Linked DNA regions of Canis lupus familiaris. The protein of the gene in region 1 interacts with the protein of each later gene in a pairwise test. Links are inferred from orthologs where the notes say so. Each region holds a gene or a part of one and is shown in the gene's direction. Other genes may lie near its edges.

Region 1 (4,439 bases):
TAGGCTCGGAGCAGAGGCCGCCCGCACGCTGAGCCCGCGGAGCTGCAGTCTCTGTGGCGGGAACCGGCGCAGCCCCGCGCTCCTGCGGATACGCCTGGCCCTGCGTCTCGGTGGACCCCCGCGCCGCCAGGCCCCACGTGCGGTGCTGCCGCCCACGGCACGTGCTTGGGCCCCGTGAAGCCTCGGCCTGGGTGGCAGATGAGGCGCTGTTTGGATTCGTTACCGTGTCGCTGCTGCGGGGTCGGGACCGTCCTGCAAGGACGAGGACAGGCCAGCGCCGGGGCCGGGGTGAGCCCCGCAGAGAGCGGGGGCCCGGGCGACAGCGATCCCGAGCAAGCTTAGAGCCTTAGGCGGGAGACTTAGTGACCGGAGGAAGCTTTCCTGGCCGAGGCGCTGGGGGTTGGGCTTGAGCCTCTGGGCGCCCGGGAGCCCCCGGGCGGGGGCGGGAACGCCGGCCTCGGGCTGTGAAATGCGCCCCCCCGGCGCCAGGGGGCGCGCGTGGGAGCTGCTGAGGGACCCGCCGGGCTCGGGGGCCGCGCGCCGGTGCCCACCCAGCCCCGGGCCAGGACCCGGGAGCGGCCGCCGGAGGTGGCGGGGGTCCGAGCCCCTCGTGGCCGCGGCCTCGGGCGCCCGCCTTGCGCCCCCCTTTGCAGCGCGAGCTCGGGCGTGCAAGGCGCCCGCGCGGGTGCGGATGCGGGTGCGGGTGCGCATTAAGGCGGCGGGGGCCGCGGCCGCCCCGACGGCGGGGACTCCCGGCCGCGATGGGAGGCAGCTGTTCTCCCAGGCGGCCGCGGGGGGCAGCAGAGGGGGCGCGACAGGTGCGGGAGCCCCTCCCGGGCTGGAAGGGAAAAGGCGGGCTTCGGGTCTGTTCCCAGGCTGGAGGCCGCCCCGCCCCCGCCCCCCAAATCCCCCGGAGAGGCCGGGCCGGCGCCGGGTCTGCGGGAGGAAGCGGCCGGAGACAGCGCGATTTCACGCGGCCTCGGGGCTCGGCTTCCAGGGCAGCGTGGACGGATTACGGGGCCGGAAGGGTCCCGGGGAAACCGAGGCGCCTGAGCGTGCGGCCCGCGCCTTCCTCACAAACACTCACGGAGAAAAACATTCACATTCAGGGAGCCCCCCCGCCCCGAGTGACCCAACCGGCTGGGGAAGTTGAGTGATCTGGTTAATGGGCGCGGCCAGCTTTCAGGGGCCGGGCTTCGAGGCGCCCTCCCCGCCCCCAGCACCTTTCCCCGTCGGAGGCGCTAGGGCGTCTGCAGTCCCGGCCGCCCCTCGGCCCGGCCCCCGGGAAGGTCCGGGCGCGACCCCGGCTCGGCTCGCGTGGCCCGGGGACGAGCCCCGGCTGCAGCGCCGCCCCCCTCCCCTGCCCGGCGGGCCCCCGCCCCGGCCCGGCTCCGATTGCGCTCCGCAGCCTCCCCGCCGCCGCTGCCGGTCGCTGGCGGCTCAGGTGGCCCCGCTCGGATGTCCTAGTCGGGGCCCCGGGCCGGATCCCGCGGGGCCGCCGCCGCCTCCGCGGGCGTCATGAGGGCGACGGCGCCGCTGCAGGTGCTGGGCTTCCTGCTCAGCTTGGTCCGCGCCTCCGACGTGGGCAACTCCCAGGCAGGTAAGCGGCGCGGGCGCCGGGGGGGGGGGGGGGGCCGGGCGGGGGCGGGGGGCGCTGGGACCACCCCGGCGGGGCGCTGCGGCGGGCTCGGGGCTCCCGACCCCCCACTTCTGATCTGCGTCGGGGTGGGGCCCCCCGGGACACCCCGCTCCCCTGGGCGCTGCGGGCGGGCTCGGCGCTCCCGACCCCCCACTTCTGATCTGCGTCGGGGTGGGGGCCCCCCGGGACACCCCGCTCCCCTGGGGAGCCCTGTGGGGACGGCCGTGGGGCCTCGGCTCCGCAAACGTGCGGCGGCAGTGAGGGGGGTGAGGTCCCGGAGAGTGGGGGTCCCGGCCTGTGAGCCCACCCCCTCCCTCGGTTTCGGCGCCTCCAGTTTCGTTGTTTTGCCGACAGGGCGGAGCTAGGGAGGGGTCGGAGGGGGTTGTTGTTTTCTACTCTTGGAAAAACAAGAGCCGCACCTCCTCTTCCGTGGACCTGCCCCGGGACGGGCGGAGGCGCACCTAAGGGCCAAGTACAGGTGACATCGGGGTGAGAGGCCACGCAGAGGCCGACCTCCCTCATTTCCTCAGGATAACCAAGCTGGCTGGTCCCCGGCTTGACCAACCTCTTGTTTTTTTTTTTTTTTTAATTAATTAATTTATTTATGAGAGAGAGAGAGAGAGAGAGAGAGAGGCAGAGACACAGGCAGAGGGAGAAGCAGGCTCCATGCACCGGGAGCCCGATGTGGGATTCGATCCCGGGTCTCCAGGATCTCGCCCTGGGCCAAAGGCAGGCGCCAAACCGCTGCGCCACCCAGGGATCCCCCAACCTCTTGTTTTTGTCAAGACCCAGATCAATTCAACTAATATTTATTGAACATCTACTACGCACAGGGTCTGGGCCAGGAGCTGTAGGGTTAGGGGCCTGCAGCCTGGACTTGTCTGTCTTTTCTCCCCCAACCCGAGACCAACAGGGCGCCTCTCCCACCTCCTGAGCTTCCAGTCTGGGAGTCCTTCCCGGACCCAGCTCCCCCCCCACCTACATTCTGCTTATTGTCTGACTCTGTCTCCTGGAGTCTAGACAACAGTCAAACTGCGCCTCTCTTCCTCCTCCCACTCCCATACCATCGGAGCCCACCCCCTTGGGGTGTCTCTGGGACCGTGGACACCTGAGGGTTCTGGTGTTGCTCGAATTGGAGGAATCCTGTTGATCTCTTCCCCTCCCCCAGACCTCAGCTTGGGATTTGGGAGGGCCAGGGCCTCTTCCCCAGAGTGGGAGTGGGAGAAACACCTGTGCTTCCCCCACAGTTGCTGGGCCTAAATTTAGACTTGGGATCTTGACTTTGAAACTCCCAGCTGGTGGGGGGGTGGAGTGGAGGGGGGGGTCTGGGGACTGGAGTGGGAGGGACCAAATAGAATGACTGGGTCACTGTCCCATCCAGACCCTTGGAATCTTCAACCAGGAACCCAGGAGTCCCAGATCCTGGCCACCTTCCCTTGGGGCGACAGGAGGCAGGCATGGTTGGGTTTCTTTACCCTTTATCTGGATCCTGCAGCCTCTGGGCATCCGGCCCTGTCTCAGTCCTTCTATAGTCCCTTTGTCCTGGCTGTGATGGGGGTGGGGGCTATTGGAGAGGAGGCCTCTGGTTGAGGAGGCAACGAAGATTCCTGGTCGACCCACCCCAGTGCTCTCTACCAAAGGAGTGCCAGGCCCCTCCCTAGGCCCCTGGTCCCCGGGTACAGTGGGGCTTTTCCTTACTCTCTTCCCCCTTCCCTCCTCCCCATGCTGCCTGTTCCTCCTTAGAGGTGGTTTTCACGCTCTCTTCCTGAGCAGGCCCTTTGCTCCCTGTTTGTGTAATATGGACTTTACCCTCAGGATGGCAGAGAACTGGGACCTCTAACCCTTTAGCCTTCCAGGCACAGACACAGAGTCTGCACAGACACCTAAGGCAGGTGGGATAGATGGGGCCACCTGAAATACTTCCTCATAAGGAACCCCGAGGACAGAACCAGTATAGATTTCTGGGCCAGCGGGGAGCGGTGTGCATGCTTGTCTGTGGGTGTGTGCGTGTGTGTCCCTCGTGCATGTGCACACACACACACATCACATACATATCCCACTTCTCCATGCAGAAATCTTGGCTCCTCCCTTATCTGGGGAGAGCGGTTGGCGCCTTGACTTGCAAGAGGGGGTGTCCTACCAGGAAAGGGTTTAGGGTGGGGCTGTTCCCTAAATGATTAACCTTCCTAGTTTCTTTACTTTCAGCCCCAGGACCCTAGAGTTCCCAGGCTCCTCTGGGAGCTCCCAGCCAGTTTACTCCTCTGCTGGGTCTAGCCCACCCCCTTCCTTCCCATTGTGGGGAGTGAAAGGGGATGGGAGCCCTCCAAAGTCCAGTGGTCAGACTAGGGGTGTATCTAGGAGGAGGGGTTGGAGCCTCACTAATCTCTCCTCCTCCGTTCCCACTCCCGCCTCCTACTAAACTGCCAGCGCCTCAGGGAAGGGTGGTGAGAACAGGTGGTGTCTACCCCCCACCCTCCCCCGGCCTCTGAGCGGAGGGGAGAGGGGTGGGGCTTCGGGGTCCCGCCTTTCCCTTAGCCCCTGTGTCCTCCATACTTAGAAGGGCAAGTGAACCCCCAAGACTGCCATGTTGCAAAGCTTTTTAATGAATCTTTTGACAATGAAATTGCGTGGAAGGCTTAGAATGGGGGGGGATCCTCTGCTGTTTCCCTCCAGGCTTGTCTGTATTTGCTGGAAAGTGTGATGCTGAGGAGCTGCGATGTGTTGGAATAGGGCAAGGGAACCGGGAGGCCAGAGTTGAGGAAGAGGGGGTGCGGGGTAGGCAACCAACTCCTTATCTTTC
Region 2 (3,808 bases), about 47 Mb from region 1:
CAGGATTGATAAACACTTCAGAATTTATTTCATTGTCATTGAAGGTTTTTGTTTTTGTTTTTTTGATAAAAAGGGGAGTTGTTGGTTTGAGTTGGAGAGGGCAGGAAGTGAGGTGGAAGAGTGTTTATGCCATCTATTAAAAGTTCTTTGTGATATACCGTAAAGTAGAAATTTTCCTTGTGGAAAACCTGATTAAAGACCAGTAAGGTTTATGATGAGCAAGCTTTTACCTCATTGCTCCATCTTATTAACCTTTCCTGAATAGAGTCAAATGAGAAACTTGATTTGGGGATGTGGGTTTATTTATTTAGCACAGAAGGAAAGGTAAGGGAGAAAAAGTCAGAAAAATCTTAACAGAAGAGCACATTTTATTGTTCTCTCCACATGATAAATTTTGCAAATTAAAAAAAAAAAAAGTTATTTGGGACACTTGGCTGGCTCAGTCCAAATAGCATAGACTCTTGATCTCAGGGTCGAGAGTTTGAGCCTCACGTTGGGTGTAGAGAGTACTCAAATAAATTAAACTTTTTTTTAATTTAAAAATTAAAAGTTACAGTTAATCTACATTAGGTAGAAAATTGGAGAACTCAAAGAAAATAAGGCAGGGGCGCCTGGGTGACTCAGTGGTTGAGCGTCTGCCTTTGGCTCAGGTCGTGATCCGTGATCCCGGGGTCTGGGATTGAGTCCAGCATCAGGCTCCCCATAGGGAGCCTGCTTCTCTCTCTGTCTGTCTCATGAATAAATGTGGTTATATTTGTGTTCCTTTTGTTTCTTTGTTGCTGAGTTGTAGGATAGCAGTCTACAGAAATGGTTAAGAGTTTGTGTCAGATCATCTATATCAGTAACCTTTTTGAGTTATTTTCCCAACATTTTATGATTAAGACTTCCAAATATCTAGAAAAGTTGAAACGATTGTAAGGAGCACCTATACACCTTCTGCCTAGATTCAACAATTGTTAACATTATACCGTACCATACTTGCTTTATCTCTCTTTATGTGTGTGTGAATATATATGCTACTCTTTTTTTTTTTTTTTTTCACTGAACCTTTTGATAGCAAACTGCAGACATTTTGGCATATTTTGGCATGCCACTCTTAAAAATGTGGACATTTCGAGGCGTCAGGCTGGCTTGGTTGGTAAAGCATGCAACTCCTGATCTTGGGGTCATGAGTTTAAGTCCCACATTGGGCGTAGAGCTTCCTTGGGAAAAAAAAAAAAGAGAACATCTTTCTACATAACCATAATATAATACTGTTATCATGCCAGTGAAAATTAAGAGTATCATCTAGTACCAAGTACAGATTTTCCCAGTTGTCTCTAGAATGACTGTGATAGTAGTTATTTTGAACGATGGTCTGGTCAGCCTGTTATCTAGCATATTAATGAAGTTTGTAATCAGGTCATTTTTTCTTCCCCTTGCCATTGAAAAAGAAGAGTCTGAGCCAGCTTTGCATATGATGTCCTACATCCTGGATCGTAGGATTTGTTTTGTGTCCTTTAATACCATCCTCTGCTCCCTATTTTCCTATAAATTGGGAATTTGCTTTATTAGATTTAAATTAAACATTTTTGGCAAGAACATAGGACATGGTTCTGCACTCCCTAATGAATCACATCAGGAGGCACACAATGTAAGGTTGTCTTGCTTTTAGACTGTCAGCTTAACTGTGATCAGCTTCGATGTTAGAGCTTGTTCTGCTAACAAGATTAAGTAGCTGCTGTTGTAGAAACCTCTAAGTTTTCCAAAATTTAACAAAATATAAAAAGATTAGGTAGTTTCCTGTTCATGTCTTATTATCATGTTTTAAATAATTTGATCTAAAAATGTTTTTATTAAGATATGTAAGAACAAAAAGTAAATAAAATTTTTACCCACAAAAGCATTAAAATTTCCCAAAAATCCAGTTTAAATTTATATAATTCTACATTTTGTATCTCTTTTCCTTACCTATCATTTAGTGGCAGGGATGAAGAAACTAATGTTCTAATGGCCTGCTTTTCTGTCCTTTCCTATTGCTTTAAACACTAATTTCCTTTTGTGCTAAATCATTCTAGACAATTACTGTTTTTTGTTTTTTGTTTTTTCTGTTAAGCAAGTCAGTTTTAGGAAATGCTTGTGTTGCTGTTGAATTCTAATAGTGGAGTAAATTTCAGAGGAAGCTTCAAATGCCAGTGTGAAATAAGATGTAAACTAGTTAATGGTAATTTGCTAAAATTAACTTGATATTTCAAGTGGAAACTTTTATTGACACAAGTAAGACTTGATACTTATTTAATGAAATGTTCTCATGCTTAGACTATATTACTCGTGATAGAGAAATGAGTGTTTTGCTGTGCTATGTTATGAAATACATGTGATATCCTAGTTTGTCTACTGACACTGGGGTCTTGAATCTCAAAAAAAGGCCTCCGAGGAAGCAGAGGAAAGTGGATCACAGGGAAAATTGGTGGAAGCTCTCAGGCAAATGAGAATTAATCATAGGGGAAACTACCGACAACTTCTGGAGGAGATGCTGACTAGTTACAGGCTAGCTAAAGTAGAGGGAGAAGAAAGCCCTGCTGAACCAGCTGCCACAGCTACTTCTTCGAACAGTGATGCTGGAAACCCAGTGACAATGCAGGAAAGCCATACTGAATCAAAAAGTGATCTTGCTGAATTAGACAGCTATAATGAAGATGCAGGGACAAAGATGAGTGGTAAACAAATATGACTTGACTTTGTGGTAATATTTTTGTGATCTTTGATTTGATGGTTTTTACTTAGGAAGTATAATGTATGCATTTATATAACCGTTTTTGTTATTTGAATCTTGGTAAACTAGTTTTATTACCTTCAGATAGCCTTGTTTTTTTAAGAAGGCCTTTGCATACACCTTTATCAGATAGTTTAAAATTGACTATTTATAGTACTTTGAATTTAATAAAATTCTATGTCATTTCATATTGTATGCCAGAAATGAGGCTACTAGTTATTCGAATCAGTAGTTAACTTCATATTAGATAAGATTAGAGATTACTGATAAGCAAGATGACATTATATTGTGGAAAAACTTGTAAATGTAGAATTCTGCTTCATATTATTTTACATATTAGTACACTCATAGTCAGCTTTGTAATAAATTTGTGTTTTCTTTAGTAACTTTAGTTCTTCAACGAATGGCAGATGCTGGCCTGTAATTTTTTTTTTCTTTCCAAGGATGATAATTTGTGTGTTCTTTGACTTGTTTATACTTTACATCTCTGTAGTTTTATTTTTAGAAGTTCTGAGTTGTTGGATGTGTGGTTATTTTCCTTTCTCTGTATTCTTTATTGAAACCTAATTTTTGAAAAACCTATGTATTATTGATACAGCTTTGGTTTGTACATTCTGTATAGCCTAACTACATACATCAAAATGTATGTCAACCACGTGTTTAGAATGAAATTATAAGTGTTCAAGTCCAAATAAAGCATGTGATGTGGAATAATCTATGCATGTTGTACTTATTTTGAAATTAAAAAAAATTTAAACAACCAGGTTTGGTATATTGGAAGAATACCCATTAGAAATTCATTTATATTGATAGAAAATGTAGAAAACTTTTGACTTGGCTTTTGTCATTAACAAAAGAAAACATTTTGAGAAGTCTTGCTTTCTCAAATCCATTGTTTCTTATCCCCTTTTTGTAATACAAAATATTCATCTGTGGCCAGTATAGACACACATAGTCATGTCAGAGACTTTCCATGATGAGCACATTAAAGATTGCAAGACCCGTCATCTTTGCTATAACTATTCATCAGATATTAAGAAATGCAAGAATTAC

The links.
Region 2: the proteins of ERBB3 (region 1) and PPM1B interact in a two-hybrid assay, tested with the Homo sapiens proteins (2 studies listed by BioGRID and IntAct, with this or other methods). The link is inferred for Canis lupus familiaris from reciprocal best matches to the Homo sapiens genes ERBB3 and PPM1B.

What each region holds. Positions count from the first base shown.
Region 1 is NC_049231.1:756,927-761,365, forward strand, and holds the start of ERBB3 (receptor tyrosine-protein kinase erbB-3), read left to right. Parts: upstream 1-1,425; 5' UTR 1,426-1,518; coding exon 1,519-1,600; intron 1,601-4,439. UniProt on the Homo sapiens protein: Tyrosine-protein kinase that plays an essential role as cell surface receptor for neuregulins.
Region 2 is NC_049231.1:47,722,081-47,725,888, forward strand, and holds the end of PPM1B (protein phosphatase 1B), read left to right. Parts: exon of another isoform or gene 1-2,401; intron 2,402-2,407; coding exon 2,408-2,713; 3' UTR 2,714-3,473; downstream 3,474-3,808.